Drosophila melanogaster: one gene and its partners. The protein of the gene in region 3 purifies or fractionates together with the protein of the main gene of each other region. This does not show direct contact. Each region holds a gene or a part of one and is shown on either strand. Other genes may lie near its edges.

Evidence for each region. The genes of interacting proteins can lie anywhere in the genome.
Region 1: the proteins of porin (region 3) and ATPsyngamma purify together in Drosophila melanogaster (affinity purification with mass spectrometry, with the first as the bait; one large-scale study listed by BioGRID). This does not show direct contact.
Region 2: the proteins of porin (region 3) and CG11857 purify together in Drosophila melanogaster (affinity purification with mass spectrometry, with the first as the bait; one large-scale study listed by BioGRID). This does not show direct contact.

What each region holds. Positions count from the first base shown.
Region 1 is NT_033777.3:29,747,215-29,751,026, forward strand, and holds ATPsyngamma (ATP synthase, gamma subunit), read right to left. Parts: upstream 1,950-3,812; 5' UTR 1,610-1,949; exon of another isoform or gene 1,556-1,609; 5' UTR 1,534-1,555; coding exon 640-1,533; 3' UTR 501-639; downstream 1-500. Other genes in the region: IntS11 (integrator 11), read left to right, coding at 1-183; yata, read left to right, coding at 2,577-2,954, 3,014-3,237, 3,298-3,703, 3,767-3,812. UniProt on the Drosophila melanogaster protein: Mitochondrial membrane ATP synthase (F(1)F(0) ATP synthase or Complex V) produces ATP from ADP in the presence of a proton gradient across the membrane which is generated by electron transport complexes of the respiratory chain.
Region 2 is NT_033777.3:25,257,001-25,261,259, forward strand, and holds CG11857 (uncharacterized protein), read left to right. Parts: upstream 1-1,897; 5' UTR 1,898-2,363; coding exon 2,364-2,432; intron 2,433-2,493; coding exon 2,494-3,036; coding exon of another isoform or gene 3,037-3,222; 3' UTR 3,223-3,759; downstream 3,760-4,259. Other genes in the region: Nup358 (nucleoporin 358kD), read left to right, coding at 1-57, 122-1,129, 1,201-1,559; Kdsr (3-ketodihydrosphingosine reductase), read right to left, coding at 4,256-4,259.
Region 3 is NT_033779.5:10,845,256-10,854,610, forward strand, and holds porin (porin), read right to left. Parts: upstream 5,594-9,355; 5' UTR 5,499-5,593; exon of another isoform or gene 4,261-5,498; intron 3,811-4,260; exon of another isoform or gene 3,776-3,810; intron 3,609-3,775; coding exon 3,289-3,608; intron 3,214-3,288; coding exon 2,986-3,213; intron 2,914-2,985; coding exon 2,613-2,913; 3' UTR 2,170-2,612; downstream 1-2,169. Other genes in the region: CG17139 (uncharacterized protein), read right to left, coding at 1-344; Porin2, read right to left, coding at 633-963, 1,027-1,251, 1,318-1,643; SmydA-3 (SET and MYND domain containing, arthropod-specific, member 3), read left to right, coding at 7,263-7,630, 7,855-8,184, 8,298-8,524, 8,579-9,177. UniProt on the Drosophila melanogaster protein: Forms a channel through the mitochondrial outer membrane and also the plasma membrane.

The sequences.
Region 1 (3,812 bases), on a different chromosome or scaffold from region 3:
GAAAAGCTAGCCGGCTGGACGGTGACGATGCAGGAGAACGGCTCCATAGCCATCGAATCCGTTGAGGTGAAGGTGGAGGAGGACGAGAAGGATCCCAAGCAGAAGAACATTTTGATATCGTGGACCAACCAGGACGAGGACATTGGAGCCTACATACTGAATGTGCTGCAGAATATGTGCTAGGCAACGAAGAAGCATCCCATTGAAATCCCACGCCTTAATTCCATAGATAAGCACAAAGTGTAGATACCACCAATTTCTGAAAGTTTAAAGAGTATCAAAATATACATAAACGTTCCAATAGTTTTTTGGTCATTAGTCATTGCCACTTGAAATTTGAGACTTTATGCACATTAAGTTATATCAATGGGTCTTTGCATAAGAATGCAATCGAATCCCATGATATCAATGTGTAAAAACCAAACAGACCTGTGCAAGTGCTTTCAAATTCCTTGCCTCCCACTCCAATTAGGTAAGGACTCCATGGTTAAAGTTATTTTCGTTCGTTCCACGCTATTTATTCTGGGGTTTTTCTGAAAGAGTAACATTACTAGGGCTCCAGGCGTAGCTCCAGGTGCCTGGCACCATATGCAATTAGCTGTATGAATCGTTAGAGCTGTTCGAACACATTCCATTCGCTTATGTGAGGGCGGCGGCACCGGAGATGATTTCAATCAGCTCGCGAGTGATGACCGCCTGTCGGGTACGGTTGAAGGTGAGGGTCAGCTTGTCGATCATCTCACCGGCGTTCTTGGAAGCGTTGTCCATGGCAGTCATACGGGAGGACTGCTCCGAGCAGGCGCCCTCCTTCATGGTGTAGAAGATGAGCGAGGCCAGCGAGAACTCCAGATAGCTCTTGACCACGTCGCTGTCGAGCGAGTCGTAGACGGCCAGCTTCTCCGACTTCTCCACGGTGGATCCGCTGAAGATGGGGAGGGTGGAGCACTGGTAGGACACCACCGACTTGAAACGGTTGTACACGATCTTGCCCTCGGTGTAATCGTAACCGGTCTGCAGAACCTCGTTGGCAATCTTCGAGGCGTCCAGGAAAGTGGGGGGCAGTCGGCCCACCTCGTTGGCCACCATCAGGATGTTCTTGCCGTACAGACGGGACAGAATCGCGCGCGACTTGTCGCCCACGCAGAACACCTTAGTGTTGGCCTCGTCCTGGGCCAGTTCGCCGCGAATGAGACGGGCCACACCAGTGTGGACGGCACCGCAAAGACCACGGTCCGAAGTCACTGCGATGAGCAGCTTCTTGGGCTCCGCCTTCTCGTCCGGCTGGATCTCCGTCTTCTCGAAGAACTGCTGGGCGCCGATGCCGTAAGGACGAGCCGCCTTCAAGTCTCGCTCGGCACGAGCGTACTTGGCAGCGGACACCATCTTCATCGATTGCGTAATTTTCTGAATGTTCTTCACCGACTTCAGGCGGATGGAAATCATCTTCAGGGTGGCCATGCCACGCTGCTGCTGGGCCAGCATGGTGGCCTCCATGGCCAGGGGCAGCAGGAGCTGGGTGCGTTGCATCATCATCCTGTGAGTTGTCGAAGATTCCCTGTCGCGAAAATTAGCTCGATTCACTCGGCAAAAATTGAGAAAATTCACCTACCTTGCGTTAAGTTGGCTGCGCCACAACGAGTGTTATAACACCGAGCAGAGTTGCCACCCAGTTCGGGTTAACGCGGTGGCGATTCGTGGTGAACGGTAAAATATTATATTAAATAATTTATTTTAATTATGGAAATTTCGGATAATGGATTTGTGCTACATATAACTATTAATATTGGATAAAATACAAAACTTCTTTGGAAAGCTTCAGAATGCACAATAAAGCTTGAAATTAATTTGAATTTATGTAACTCATAATTATGACAATAGAGTTAAAAACAGAATAATAATTGATAAGGATTAAGAGGTTTGCCAAAGATGCCAGCTTGTTTTCTACCCTCGACCAGAGTTTTCCTTCTCCTTGCCAGCTCTGTTTTGGAATCAGCTGCTCACGCACGAGCCACGAAGTTCCGTCACTAACGCCTCACGCAAAAAAAAGCTGACGTACTCGGGAAAAAGATTAGGATAATTCGACGGAGACGAGCGCCCGATCCGATCTACTGACTCCCCCGACCCGCAGCAGAGCCACATAGACACGATCGCCCTGTCCAGGACACCCGGGATCCCAGGGATGAGACCTCTGGGGACGAAAAACAGCGGATAAGTTAGCTGTGTGCGTGTGTGTGTGCGTAAGCAAAGCTGGAAAATTGTTGCTGCGCATCGGAGGAAAATAAAGGACATCAGGCGGCTGGATTGGCATGAGGAGGATAGGGCTCAAGCCAAGGCTAAAGACAGAGGCATAGTGCTTGAGGATAAACCGAGAATCGGGGCTCCACCGATTTCAGTGCCTTTGTGTGGCAGCAACAAGGTGTGCGTGTGTGTGAGTGCGTGCGTGCGTGTGTGCGTGCGTGTGTTGCCTGCGCAGTGCGTTGTTGTTGCAGTTGCAATCGCCAGTTGTTGCTGTTGTTGTTGCTGTTGCTGTGTGACACAACAGTAACAAAATATTGAGCCGCCGAGCAAAACACATAATGTGGTCGTTCTTCTCGCGCGACTCCTCGAAAGACTTCCCCTACGACATTGGCGAACCGGTGGGCGGCTTTGACCAATACTCCATATGGACGCTGCACAAGGCCAAGCGCAAGACGACGCTGGAGGAGGTGTCTGTGTTCGTCTACGACATCCGTAGCGGATCCGACACCAAGTGCGAGCTGGCCAAGGCGGCGCTGAAGCGCCTCAAGACATTGCGTCACCCCAGCATCCTGCAGTATCTGGACTCGCTGGAAACGGACAAGATGTTGTACGTGGCCACCGAGGCGGTGGATCCGCTGGGCACTTACTTTTCCAAGCTGGGCAGCGACAATGTCCAAAAGGGCCTCTACCTGGCCTGGGGCATCTTCCAGATCACTGTGGGTATCCATATCCCTGATATTTTGCCCTAGCTAACCAAGTCACCAATCCCTTTCAGCGCGCCCTGTCCTTTCTCAACAACGATGGCAATCTGCGACACAACAATGTTTCCGCCTGGTCGGTGTTTGTCAATGCCTCCGGCGAATGGAAACTGGGCAGCCTGGAGTACGTCTCAGCGGCGGATGGTAATCCCATGCCGCCCGCCAAAATACCTGTGACCCTGGAGGTCTACGATTCCCCCGAAAAGAACGATCCGAGCAAGCTCAAGGCGGCCACCAAATGGTACGTAATCCTCTCACCTTAGACTATTTTAATAATCCTTCAAATCGGATTCTCTACCAGCTCCGTGGACATGTGGGGCCTGGGCTGCCTCGTGTGGGAAGCTTTCAACGGTGTGCTCAAGCAACGCTCCAACCTCAAGGATATAGAACACATACCCAAGTCCCTGCAATCGCTCTATTGTGAGCTGGTTGGCGCCTCGCCTTCGAATCGTCCCAACCCGGCGGATATAATCACACGTTGCCGCAAGCCTGGAGGCTTTTTCAAAAACGATTTGGTGGACACACTGCTCTTCCTAGAGGAGATCCAAATCAAGGACAAGGCGGAGAAGAATCGCTTCTTCAGTGGTCTGACCACGCATCTCGACAACTTTCCGGACAACGTGTGCAGGCATAAGATTCTTCCACAGCTGATAACAGCCTACGAGTACGGAGATGCGGGCTCTGCCGTGCTGGCTCCCATGTTTAAGGTTGTCTATTGAATTGGCATACTCCTATATGACTTGATTTCACAAAGAGTTATAATCTTGCAGCTGGGCAAACTGCTGGACGAGGTGGAGTACCAGAAACGCATTGTGC
Region 2 (4,259 bases), on a different chromosome or scaffold from region 3:
CTTCGGCTTCTGAGGCAAGCAAAACGCCTAGTTCAGCATTCATTTTCGGTAGCACGGGTATGTATAATTCGACGTTGACCTCAAGATAAAAGGATCTAACCGCTTTTTATGTTCACTTCAGATAAATCGGAGCCTGGAAAGGATGCTGGCCCATTAGCTAATCTTCAAAAACTAGCATCAGGCGAAGGACAAGGAAACGTTTTGGGATCTATATTCCGTAGCGGCTCGTCAAACGAAAATTCGTCTGACGGTTCTGTCAAGTTCTTTTTCGGGGGTGGAAATAAAGCGGCTGAGCAACAGAAGAAAGATTCCTCAGAGTCTGTCTTCGGAGGCAATAAAGCGGATTCCCAATCGCCAGCGACCCAAGAAGCACCGAAGTTGGCCTTCGGTGGAATTGCCGCACCTGTGTTCGGAGACGCCAATCCTTTTGGAGGCCACAAAGTTAATTTGCAAAAATCAGATGGCAAGGAAGAACCAAAATCTATCATTGGCGGAACCCCATTGTTATTTGGAGGGTCCAACGCCTTTGGAATACCCAAAATTGAAACCCAGTCACCTGCTAAAGACTTTGTGTTTGGCAGTGCACCCGCTTTTGGACAAATGGCAACCTTCTCATTTACAGCTGCAAAAAATGAAAAGGAAAAGGACATAACCTCGAATAACACCACTGATCTTAAAGCCGAAGGCAAGGAAAAGAAGGAGTTGGTGCCGGAGACGACCAGCACATTTGCCGATTTGGCCAAGACAGGCAGCACGTTTGCAGATTTGGCAAGCAATCCGGGCGGCACTTTTGCGGACTTAGCGAACAAGACGGGCAACGACTTTGCCAACCTGTCGGCCAATAGCCAGGGCACTACCGTGGGATTCAACAAGTCCGCCGGGGGCGGCTTTTATAACCTCACGCATCAGAACGCTTTCAAGAACTTCGAGTCGCCGCAAGCCACAGAAGAGTGCGATGATGACGGCGACGCGACCACTGATGACAACTACGATCCGCACTATGATGCCATTGTAGAGCTGCCGGATGAGATAGTTGTCACCACGGGAGAGGAGAACGAGACTAAGCTGTTTGGCGAGCGGGCGAAGCTTTATCGCTATGACGCCGAATCGAAACAATGGAAGGAGCGAGGTAAGCTGTAGTAATAGTCCCTTTCTTATTCACACTAAAAGTTTTTATAAAACCAAAAAAAAAAAAAAAAGGTGTCGGTGAGATAAAGGTGCTGGAGCACCCGGAGCTGCAGACATTCCGACTGATCATGCGGCAGGAGCAGATCCACAAGCTGGTGCTTAACATGAATATCTCCGCCTCCCTGCAAATGGATTACATGAACGCGCAGATGAAGAGCTTCCTGTGGGCCGGCTACAACTACGCGGTGGACGCAGAGGGTAAAGTTGACACCGAGGGCGTCCTGGAACGCCTTGCCTGTCGATTCGCCAAGGAAGAGATCGCCAGTGAGTTCCTCAACACGGTCAATTCGTGCATAAAACGAGCCAAGGCCTTGCAAGGTGATGAGGAGAACAAGAATGACGACGCGCCGGAGGAGCAGGCGAGCTCATAAGCAAACCGGATCTAAATATATGTAGCATGTCTAGGATTGTGTTAGAATATTCATCCAAAACAGTAGCGACAATGGCTATTTCACATTTTGCTAATAAAATTTCGATAAACATTAATATTACATTTGAAATAAATTTGACTATTGAATAAAGCAATCGATATATTAGAGAGGAGACAAATTCGGACGTACAACCATATAGCACAAGGAAACTGGCTATGTTTTTATATATTAAATGTACCTCTACCTATTTTTAAAATATCGACAGCACTTAGATAAAAAATTAAAACAAACAATTACCTTTCGCGATAATCGCTCAACTCCCGATTGTTCCATCCCCAGCCGATAGTTTGACAGCCCTGCCACTGAGAGAGCATAATGACGTGGTGAACTCTGTGTGAAAAAAGAACAATAAATTGCCGACAAATCTCTAGTGTAATTAAATTAGTTACCGCATAGAAACGCACTAAACTGTGGCCAGAACTTTACGAATCCCGAATACTGTCTATATAGCAATCTCAGGAAACTGACAGTTGAAACAGCCCTACAACAAGGAGGAAGAAGAAGAAGGCGACGACGGGCGGTGCAGAATATGAATTAGAGAATAATTAGCGATTGAAGCGCGTCTAGTTTGCCAGTTGGCCCATTTCGTGTTTTGTTAGCCCCTTTCCGGCAGCCCCTGCCCCCGTCCCGGAAAATTTTGCAATTCCCGAATCGATACACGTGTGCAGCGAGAACAACGACAGCGTCAAAGTCAACAATAAAAGTCGAGGGCCGGAGATTAATGAGAGACTACCGACGACGACCATGATGAACGAGGACAGCAGTGCTGCCGGCGGCGGCGGGGTTAAGAAGTTCTTTCAGCGCCTCTCACAGGTAAGTAATTGTGGATAGCCCGTACGTGCCGGGAACTAACCCGCATCCTTTGCTTCCGCAGACCTACCAATCCGCCTTGGACCGTAGCACACCGCACACACGAATGCGCTGGGTGTTCGCCGGCTTTCTGCTCCTGCTCTTTGTGCTGCGCATCTTCATCTATCAGGGCTGGTACATCGTGTGCTATGCGCTTGGCATTTACCACTTGAACCTGTTTATCGCTTTTTTAACGCCCAAGATCGACCCGGAGTTCGATCCGTATTCGCAGGATGACGAGGACGAGGGACCCAATCTGCCAACTCGCAGCAACGAAGAGTTCCGGCCATTCATTCGCCGCCTGCCGGAGTTCAAGTTCTGGCTGTCGGTGGCGAAGAGCACGCTCATCGGTCTGATTTGTACGTTCTTCGATTTCTTCAACGTGCCGGTATTCTGGCCCATCCTGGTCATGTACTTTATCACGCTCTTCTGCATCACGATGAAGCGCCAGATCAAGCATATGATCAAGTACAAGTACTTGCCGTTTACCCGCAATAAACCGCGCTACCAGCGGGTGAATGATCTGGCGGGTTCCGGACCCGGTTCCGTGGCGGGCAACTCAAAGTGACAATTAGCCGCACAGACGTCGGACACGCGGGCGACGGCAGCGGGATCGGGTGATCCTTCAAATGCCTCTTCTGCAGCTGCAGCGCCACCATCACCAACCAGCGACAGCGCAGCGACCAAGGATGTGGGGTCGCCAACAGCATCGTCCATCAAACCACCGCAGATCATTGCCATTGAGGACTACTAGAGAAAGCTACCGAAAGCAGCCCGGAATGGGAACCAGCAGCATAACATCAACCAGAAACAAGCTTATAATATGATTTTCCTTTTCGGTTTGTGTAGCATTTTTCGTTTCACTGTTGAGTTGTCGTACGGCGTCTTGTGCAAAATACCTTGTTTATTGTTTAATCTAACTGCTTGTTTAAATTTATATTTATTTACAATGCTTTCTATCTATTGTAAATCCCAAACGATACCGAAATACTGCAGATCAGCTCTAATTTAGTTTTTCATCCTAATCCTAACAATAATTTAATAACTCTTCTATCCAAAAAGTAGACTTACTGTATTTGAATCCAATTATTTTTGATTATCGTGCTAAGATGCTATAATAATATGTCTAAATATATATACAAACATATATATATATATATTTTGCATTATGATTATACAATTTTTGTTAGCGTTAACTATACAGAATGTTAAAAAAAGGCGAATTGAAAACTGAAACTATAGGAAGTGTACACTGGGTGCGTCTTATGAATAAAGAAAGACAAAAGAAAACCAAATAATTTATCGTTGAATTTTGAACCATTTGGAAAAGGTTGATGGCTTTTGTGGCGTGGTTTTTGTATTTATCTAATCGCTTCTGCATGTAGTTTGCTGTTCGATTTTAAGATACGAAACCAATTTTGATTAGGCCAATGCGTGAAATTGCTTTAGCGATTAGCACAATCACTAAGTGGTTATTTAAAAACGACTCATTTTCTGAACAGTAAATACATTTTATTTTTGTTAAAACGAAGCACACACCAACAAAACGAGCACACGTCATCTAGTCTAGAAAACACGATACAAATAGTTAAAACCCTAGCACGGCAATAATAAAAAAGTTCAAATGCACATACAAATATATATATAAAAATGAATGATAATACGGGAATTGTAATATATGAATAGGCTAACCATGCAAAACAATCGCACATTTTGATTAATTATAAAAAAGTGATTTAATTATGGGCACTTGGGAATACTTTAAGGGCAGCGGGACAAGAGAGATTTCAC
Region 3 (9,355 bases):
AGTCCGCCGTAGACAGTGTTCCATGTTGGATAACCCTCGCCGAAGCTGCTCAAATAGAAATCCTTTTCGGTTTTCGAGGTGCACTGCAGCTTCCAGCGGCCAATGGTGTAGCCGTGGATGAGGCACATCTTGGCCAGCAGACCAACGTGGAAATAGCTGGGCATCTCACCCTCCATCGGTGGTGGCGGCAGCATCTCCACCTTGTTCTCCTCCTTATCTTCTTCTGCACTCCGGTTGTCCTGGACATTGCCACCACCTTCATCGTGGGGTTCCAGGTAATCCGATGCAGCCCGCTTTCGCTTGTTCCTTCTGAACAAGTTCCGTATCCGTTCTCTCATGGGCATTGTGCCATATAAAAAGTACAATAATTAAAAGAAAAATTTAATTAAACACACTTGAAATTTTGGAGTTCTTTGGAAATTGGATAATAATATCGAAGCAGCTGTGATCAAAATTAACAAGATTATTTACTTTTAATTTGTAATATTTTACAGCCTGTATTTAAGCTGCTTAATTAATTACTCAGATTGTTATATTGCCATTATGAAGAACAAAATATATTTGTCATTTGAATAAAGATAAACTTAAAAATAAATTTAGAAATTGAAATCGTTAAGTGATTGGCAGTCATTTTAGCACTGGAGGGCAATTCCCACGCCGAACCGATGGTTTCCGTCCTTAAAGTTGTTGCAATCCAGCACGGCGGATATGGAGGCGGTGATGCCGTCGCGCAGTTTCTGTTCATAGCCCAGGCCCAGCTCCACCAGGTTGTTGACCTTGGCGCGTACGAGGGCATCCTCCTCCAAGTGGTAGATCATGCCCAGATTGACGACCACATCTCCGCCCTGCTGTTCACCCTCGGCAGCTTCGCCGCCGCCGGCTCCCTTGGTTACCTCGATACCGGCATCGATCTTCTCGCTCGCCTTGTAGAACAGCGAGGCCAACCAGGTGTCGCCGTTCTTCCTGCAAATTGATTAAAAGACATAAGATAAAGTCTTCCCACATCTCGTCACACGGGGAACTTACAGCTCGCCATGGAGGGTGGCAGTTTCATTTGTCCAACCAAGGGCCACCTTCCAGCCCTTGAGTTCGGTGTTGCCAACGTCAAATTCGGTGCCCACGCCGCCGAGGAACTCCTTGTGGCCCACAACCAGCGAACAGTTGAGTATCGGCTCCGAGTTCAGTCCAATGTCGGCCAGGAAGTTAAAGTTGTCCTGGGCATAGCCCATCTTGAACTTGCCATCCGCCTCACTGTTGACCCGAGATGTTTATATAATTAAAGGATGCTACCTAAACGATCCCCAAAGGAATACGCACTTTGATCCCGGCTGAAACTTGGCCTCGACGGCCAACATCAGGCCCTGTGCCAACTTATCCCGGTGCATAATCTCACCGAAGAGCCAGTTCTCCGTGTTCCATCGCTCGGTTAGGGTCAGGCCTTGGTCCTCGATCTTGTACTTGCTCTGAAGCGAGCCGGTCACCTTGCTGTTGTCCTGGCTGGCGAAGCCGGTGGTGAAGAACTCAATCCCCGAATTGGTCAGGGTCTTGCAGTCGATCTGCCAGATGCCCGGATGGTAGCCGCGCTTGAAGAGATCGCGGGCCAGCTTGCCCAGATCTGGGTATGTCGGTGTTTTGGCGGCCATTACGGGCTGTATGAATAGGTGGTATGGTATATATGGCCCGACTAATTTCGAAATTTTTTGTCTACTTTTCAACAGCCTCGATTAGCCGAAAATTTATGTCTAACGCTGCCTGATCAGTATCGAGTTTTATACACGCTGGAGACCTGTGAACTAAAACGCACGGAGTCCTGTGCCCAACCGAAAAAGTTAAGTTTTTCAAGCACAAAGAACTTGGGATCAGTATAAGGTACTTATCTTATTATACAGTTTTTTCTTTCAAGCTTAAATCCTTAAATTAAGCTAACCATTCCCAAGCCTTCCACCACCAACGCTGCAATCAAGATAATTTATTTCTTCTCGATTTATTTCTCAGGTAAATGCACAACGAAAAGGTAAAGATTGTTATTAAGGATGTGATTTTGGTGTTATGTGTGTCCTAGTTTCGCCGCAGGATTTTGCAGGCAATCCGTAAAGCCTTGAGAACTGAAAAAAATGCAATGCCTTTTGAGCCATAATATTCCGTCTTTTCCATTTTGTTTTTTTTTTTCGTTTAATAGGTAAATGTATTTTTACTGCACTTTTGTCAACAACAATTTCGCTAATATTCAATGCACTAATCAAAGCTACATCCAACGACGACGGACTGACCTGACCGACCCATCGATTGCACCACCCATCCATCCCCCTGCATCGTTTGTTTGGCAGTGTCTCTCCTGCAGATTCGCGTGGCTGGGGCAGGGAATGGGCGGATGTGGTGATGGCCGGCTGACAACTAATCCAATCCAATCGAATCGCTAAGATGTGCAGATTCTCTTTATATTTGACTGTGTGTTGTTTGTTTTTAAAGAATATCGTATCTTTTATTTTGTTTGATCTTGTTGTTGTTTCTGCACTTGTCTGGCTGCTGTTATTGTTGTTGTTGTTGTTGTTGGGCGTGTGGGGATGTTAGACAACGTTCAAGGATTTCACGACTAGCGGAAAACCACGGACTTAGGCCTCCAGCTCCAGACCCACACCGATCTTGTGGCCGCCGGCATTGAAGTTCTTGCCATCGACCAGCGTGGACAGGGTCAGGGTGACTCCGTCGCGCAACTTCTGCTGGTAGCCCAGACCCACCTGGCTGGCGTTGTTCACCTTAGCGCGCACGCTGGCATCATCATCCAGCTGATACTTGGCGCCGATGGCGAACTTGGTGTTGCTGGTGCCGCTGGCCCACGACAGCTGTACACCCACATCCAGCTTGTCCGAAGTGCGTTGGAAGATCGAGCCGCTGAACTCCTGGCCATCGTTGCTAAACACCGGACAAGGCAATCATTAGTTTGCATTGATTTCATTTGCCATGCGTGGCAATTGCAATACTTACACAGCTGTGTGCAGAACAAAGTCCTTGGTGGTGTAGCCAAGGGCAAAGTTGTTGGTGGTCAGCTTGGACTGTTGTGTGTCAAATGCGGTCTGGTAGCCGGCCAACCATCCCTGGTAGCCAAGCACGGCAGAGGCATTGATCAAGGGGCCCTTCAGATCAATGTTCACATCCGAATCGGCCTTGACGTTCTCATGGCCGTAGGCAACCTTGAACTTGCCGTTCTTGTTTCTGACGATTTTTAATTAAATATGCAATATTAATTATTCTGCAGTGAACATATATGTAATAACATGTGATCCTTACCCAGACTGAGGAGCAAAGTTGCCCTCCAGGGACAGCTTCAGACCCTCGAGGAGCTGATCCTGGACAGCAACCTCGGTGAACAGCGTGTTGTCTGTGTTCCACTTCTCGGTGAGGGTCAGGCCGTAGTCCTTGACCTTGTACTTGGTCTCCAGGGAGCCGAAGACCTTTCCAGACTCCTGGTTGGAGTGTCCGGCTGTGTTGAACTCAATGCCCGACGAGGTCTTAGTCTTCAGATCGAGCTTCCACAGGCCAAAGTTGTAGCCTTTGCTGAAGATGTCGCGAGCCTGTTTGCCCAAATCGCTGTATGATGGAGGAGCCATCTGGAATGGATTGAAATGGAATGCATTAAATCGCACCTTCAATTAGTTGGTGAATAATCGATAATCATGACGATGATACTTATTGCGAAATCATTTCACTCGCCAGGTCATTAATTGCGTTTAGCGAACGATAAGTTTAATCTTATCAGCAACATAATGATTATTACTTTTTGCTCGACTTGATTTCAAAATGTTCTATCGGCCGCAAATGAAAAGTGAAAACTAAAAGACGCCAAAAAACAGCATCAACATGTCCCAAGAATTTCGAGGGCTTTTTCCCCATTTTCACTTTGGCTAAATGTCAATTTTGTGCGGCGAAAATAAAGAAATCAATTTAGATTAGTGTTCAAGGCGGCCACATGCAAAGAATCACCAACTGAAGCAGCGAAAATTCTGAGTGACTGAGGAGGGGGTCAATGCACGTCTGGGCAAAATAAAGTGGCGCAAAAAATAGAAGCGAAGATAGAAAACAAATAGTGACTAAGTCTATTTTACTCCAAGAAATTAAGGGTTTTCTATACCAATGCAAAACCATTTAAATCAAAATTTATTTTTCAAATATTTTTATAGGTTTTTTAAACTAAAATTTTAATAAAAATACTGAGATTTTCCCTATTTATCTGGCCACAGGTTTGCCTCTCTCTATGTTTACGTTCCGTTCTTGCTGGCATTAATTGCTGGTCAGTTCAGTCCCGTTAGGCTAGCGATCATTGACTCAGAAGCTAACTGCACATTTGCAACGTCTGCTGTGGTCACTGCTTCGCTGTTTCTATTTGCGTGACGTCAGGAATGCGACTCACAGTCGCGGTAGGAATATTAGTCGCGGATAAATAAATTTCTATCCGATATTGAGCATAAAAAAAATCAAACAAAAATAACCCAAAACATCTAATTGAAATTATTATATAGATATAACAATATAAATATTTCATGTTGTGTTCGGGGGGATTGGTGGGGGGAAACTCAAGGCAATCAAGGCAGAAAATTATGAAAAGCAGCGGCCAGCAGACAAAAATCTTTATGGCCGGCAGCCAAACGTTAAATGGGATGGGCTCTTATTGTTCCGGAAGTCAGGTGATATAACCTGGTCACTAGATGCTGAAAATAATACTATCAGGTGGATGTCCCGGTGAAAATGAATCAGCATCTCGTTGACGATGACCTTGACAAGCAGATTATAAAGGGGGTGGTTGGGTGGATGTGCAGCTCATTTTTTCGACAGTTGCATAACAGCAGGGAAATCGATGAGGGAAAGTGGAAAGCTAAGTGAATAGCTGCCCGAAAAGGTGGTCTATTGATTTTCCAGGTGACGTCACTGCGAAAATACCACCCACAATCGCGAAGTGCACCCACCTCCTCACATGACCACAAACAAACAAAACGACGATAAAGAACGGTAAAGAGTGAAATCGAAAATGTTTATTGAGCGAGCTGCACGCTGGTGGATGGCAACATGACGATAACGAACGGAATTGATGCGACATGCGTTACGTAACGGAAATTCGCCAGGCACTTTTCCATCGATCTCTCTGCTTCTTTGCCCCCTTTTTTCGCCGGCAGCTGCTGCCAATGAACTGCGAAGGCATTGGTGTGCGTGGACTGTTCATGTGTGGATGTGTGTGTGACAGCTAACCGGCTTAATATCCCCTTTAAATTTCGGATTTATCAATTAATTATTGCGTGATTTGGTGATAAGAAGCTCGCCCATCGTCATCCAACAAAAAAGTGCTCAGCCCTTTTGCTTTTCGTTCATGCGCGTGTCTACTTGCAATTTTTTCATTTCGAGGTTATGAAATCACTGGCACCGAAAATCCTGATTTTCCTTCTACCCATAGGGGTATCCATCACATTTCACTGAATTTTGAGGGGGTTTACTCCTGAGCTACTTACTTTTGATGAGTTTTAGTTTGGTTAGAGTGTAATGCGAAACGCAGAGGAACAGAGACACCACGACAAACGTACACCAAAAAATTTTGTAATTCTGTGCCTTAGTGTTACCAACCCTAAAAATTCGTCCAATAATTATTCCCTAAAACAAGCCGCAGATATACTATCTGGTAACGCTGCGTCACTCTTAATGGCAATGGTCACACTTTTTGTAACGGAAATTTGAAAACTAACGGTTACTTAAAATAATTATTGAAATTAGAATTCAATCATTCTATTAAGAAATTCGTTATCTTAAGAACAATTAACTTACATCAAAGTGTTTTTTTTTTACATAAAAGGGTTTCCTGCAAACGAAAACTTTAAAGTTGTGGACAAGTAAATGGGCTTTAAAAAAGTTATAATCCAAAGCAATCAAAATGCAATAAATATATTACAACTTTATTGATTGACACCAATGAAGTGTGTGCGATGCTCTTTTTATTTTTAGACGAATCTGCGTGCAGGGCCGCCAATCGACCGCATAATCCCATTCGGATGGGCCAAAAGCGAGACCAGTGCATTTGCCGTGCGGCGACAGAATGTTGAAGGCCCGTCTGCAGGAGGACGCCGTGCTGGGACGCTGCTTGGCCACCTCTAGCTCCGTGGAGCGGGGCGAGCTGGTGCTGGAGGAGCTGCCCTTCGCACGCGGACCGAAGCGCGACAGCGGAATCGTGTGCCTGGGCTGCTACCAGTTCCTGCAGTTCGGAGAGGACGGCGATTCGCTGGACCGCTGCGAACTCTGCGATTGGCCGCTGTGCGGATCGTGCGCCGACGACGAAGACGTCACGGAGCACCGCGGAGAGTGCCAGGTCTTCTCCGCCGCACGTGTCACTTTCGCCGGGAATGTGAGCGATGATGGCGTCTGCCCGCAGTTGGATTGCATAACCATATTGAGGTTAGTTCGCGGGCGCTCCAGCGGGGCGGGGGTGATGGTGCTGGGTACATCCGTACAGCAGGGGCTACTGGGTGCTACTAGGGGAACCTGGGCGGTCTGTCCGAATATTAGTTTTGGCAGCAGCGGCCCATTTCTCGCAGTTCGCAGGCTAGCCGGCATATACAGATTCTCATGGCGACTCTACGTCAAAGAAGGCGGACGGATGGATTAACAAGTCTGTGAAAGGGACAGTGGAGCAAATCGCACAGAAAATAAAAAATAAATAGCTAAATTTAAAGTGCATGAAAGTAAGGAGAAAATTATGGCATGAAACAAGCCATATTTGTACATATTATTATGACAGAATAATTGGTATATGATAGTTGCGGCGCGTTATGATCAATGTACCATCATGTTTTTATATATTTCGTAGCAAAACTGAACTGTAAGCACTGTGAATTATTATTTAAATAATGTTAAGCACATGTTTAAATAGATCGGTGCTTAGTACTTAGAAATAGAACTAACAAAGCCAAGCAACTTAAAAGTTACAAGCAACTTAAAAGTTACAAGCAACTTAAAAGTTACAACCAGTAAATTATTTAATTTATGAAAATGTAAGGTATTTTAGTTATTATAGAAATTGAACAATGTTTTCTCAAGACAATTTGTTCAAAACTAAAATTTCTCACCTAGGACCTCGCATGCCCACTGTGCCCAGCAATTTTGATGCTTTATGTCGGAGCAGGCAGAAATGTAGTCATGTAGTGGGGAGGAGGCATCATCTGTGGGGTGTGCCCATGACATGAGATCTGAGATCTGAGTGCGGCCAGCCGGCATCAGTCAGCGAAATGACATCGCCGCCAACGCTGTCGGTGAATAGGACAGCGGTTCAGTGGAGTCCGGTCTGCGGACGCTATCTGGTGGCCAAGGGAGCGATCCGTGGCCACGGTCTGCTGATCGAGGAGCTGCCCTTTGCCGTCGGGCCCAAGTGCAATGGACCGGTGGTGTGCCTGGGTTGCTACGAACCCAACCCAGATCCGGAGGAGGAGCTGTGTAGCGAATGTGGCTGGCCGCTGTGCGTGGAGTGCGCCCAACAAGCGGATAACGCCCATTTCCGCCTGGAGTGCAGCCAGCTGAAGGATGCTCGGGCACGATTCTTCCGCCTGCCCAGCGGCAGCAGGCACTGTCCGCAATTGGACTGTATTATGCCGCTCAGGTGAAGCCCAGCGGGTGGAACAAAAATAGACCACCAGGCACCAGGCAAACTGATAGCGTCACTATTTTATCCGCTCAAGATGAAAGTTATATACAAAAGGATTCATTAACAATTAAAAAAGAGAAAGATTTTTAATTTAATGTAGCTAATTATAATCAATAGGTTACTTGTTGTGCTTCATATGATTGTCATTTGGAATACCCTTTTAAACTTTCTACTTTCAGAGTTCTGTTGGCCAAGGAGGCGAATCCGGAGCGATGGGACAACGAGGTGGCACCCATGGAGCACCACAAGGAGGAGCGCCAAAGGGACGCGGATGTCTGGCATGCGGATCGCGTTAATATCGCTCAGTATTTGCGCGGTCCCTGCCAACTGGCCAACCGATTCAGCGAGGAGCTGATCATGCAGGTGGTGGGTGTGCTGGAGGTGAACGCCTTCGAGGCGCGCAGCCCGAAGGGCTATCCACTGAGGTGCCTCTTTCCCTATACCGGCATTCTGGCCCACAACTGCGTGCCCAACACATCCAGGAGCATCTATCCCAGCGAGGGATACAAGTGAGTTGTAAATAGATTTGTAAATTCAGTTCTCTAGTTCAAGATGTCTAGAATTACATTTCCGCTGTTGCACATCTAAAATAAGTCCTCCTATATTTGTTTCTCTTCCAAAGAATCCGACTGCGCGCCATGGTGGACTTGGAGGAGGGTCAGCCCCTGCACCACAGCTACACCTACACATTGGATGGCACTGCCCAGAGACAGAAGCACCTGAAGCAGGGCAAGTTCTTCACCTGCCAATGCGAACGCTGTCTGGATCCCACCGAATTGGGAACGCACTTCTCCAGCCTGAAGTGTGGTCAGTGCGCCGAGGGATTCCAAGTGCCCAGGCAGCCAACAGGTGAGCGAAAAAGATCCTCTAGAAAGTGATAAGCTGACCTTATCCACTACGCAGAACCGGACACTAGTTGGAACTGCGCGAACTGTGGCTCCGACACCAGCAATGCGGATGCACTGGCGATGCTCCAATCCCTGCAATCCGAGGTGAATGCCGTGCAAGCGCTGCCCATGGCAGCCAAGCGGCTGGAGGAGATCGAACGACTGTTGCGCAAGTACAAATCACTGCTGCATCCGCTGCACTTTATAGCCACCGGGCTGAGGCAGTTGCTCATCGAGATGTACGGGCGAGTACAGGGCTACGAGATGGTGCAACTGCCGGACCACCAATTGGAGCGCAAGGCGGAGCTATGCCGCCAAGTGCTGAGAGTGCTGAACACCTTCGAACCGGGTCTGAGTCGAACACGCGCCATGAATCTTTACGAGCTGCACGTGCCACTGGTGCTGCTGGCCAAAAGTGGCTTCATAGCCGGCAAGCTGAAGGGCGGCGAGCTGCGTGCCCGCCTCGTCGACGCCATAGATCTGCTGAAGGAGTGTGTGGAGATCCTGGAGTTCGAGGACAAGAGCTCCCAGGAGGGAGTGCTGTGCGTTGTGGCCAAACAGGCGCTGAAACAGCTCACACTGAGCGTCGAGGGACTGGGAAGCGAACTCGATTGATTGACTTATGCATATCGGTTAGCTTTATTGGGAACAGTTCTGGGTTTCTAGGGACACAAACTGCTGATGTTGGTGTTACATTTAAAATCTTATTGGTGCGCTGGTCGATGGTCGTAAATGTCAAAAGAACAATAAACTACAAAACTAAACAGTGATTACAATTATTACAAACTAATGA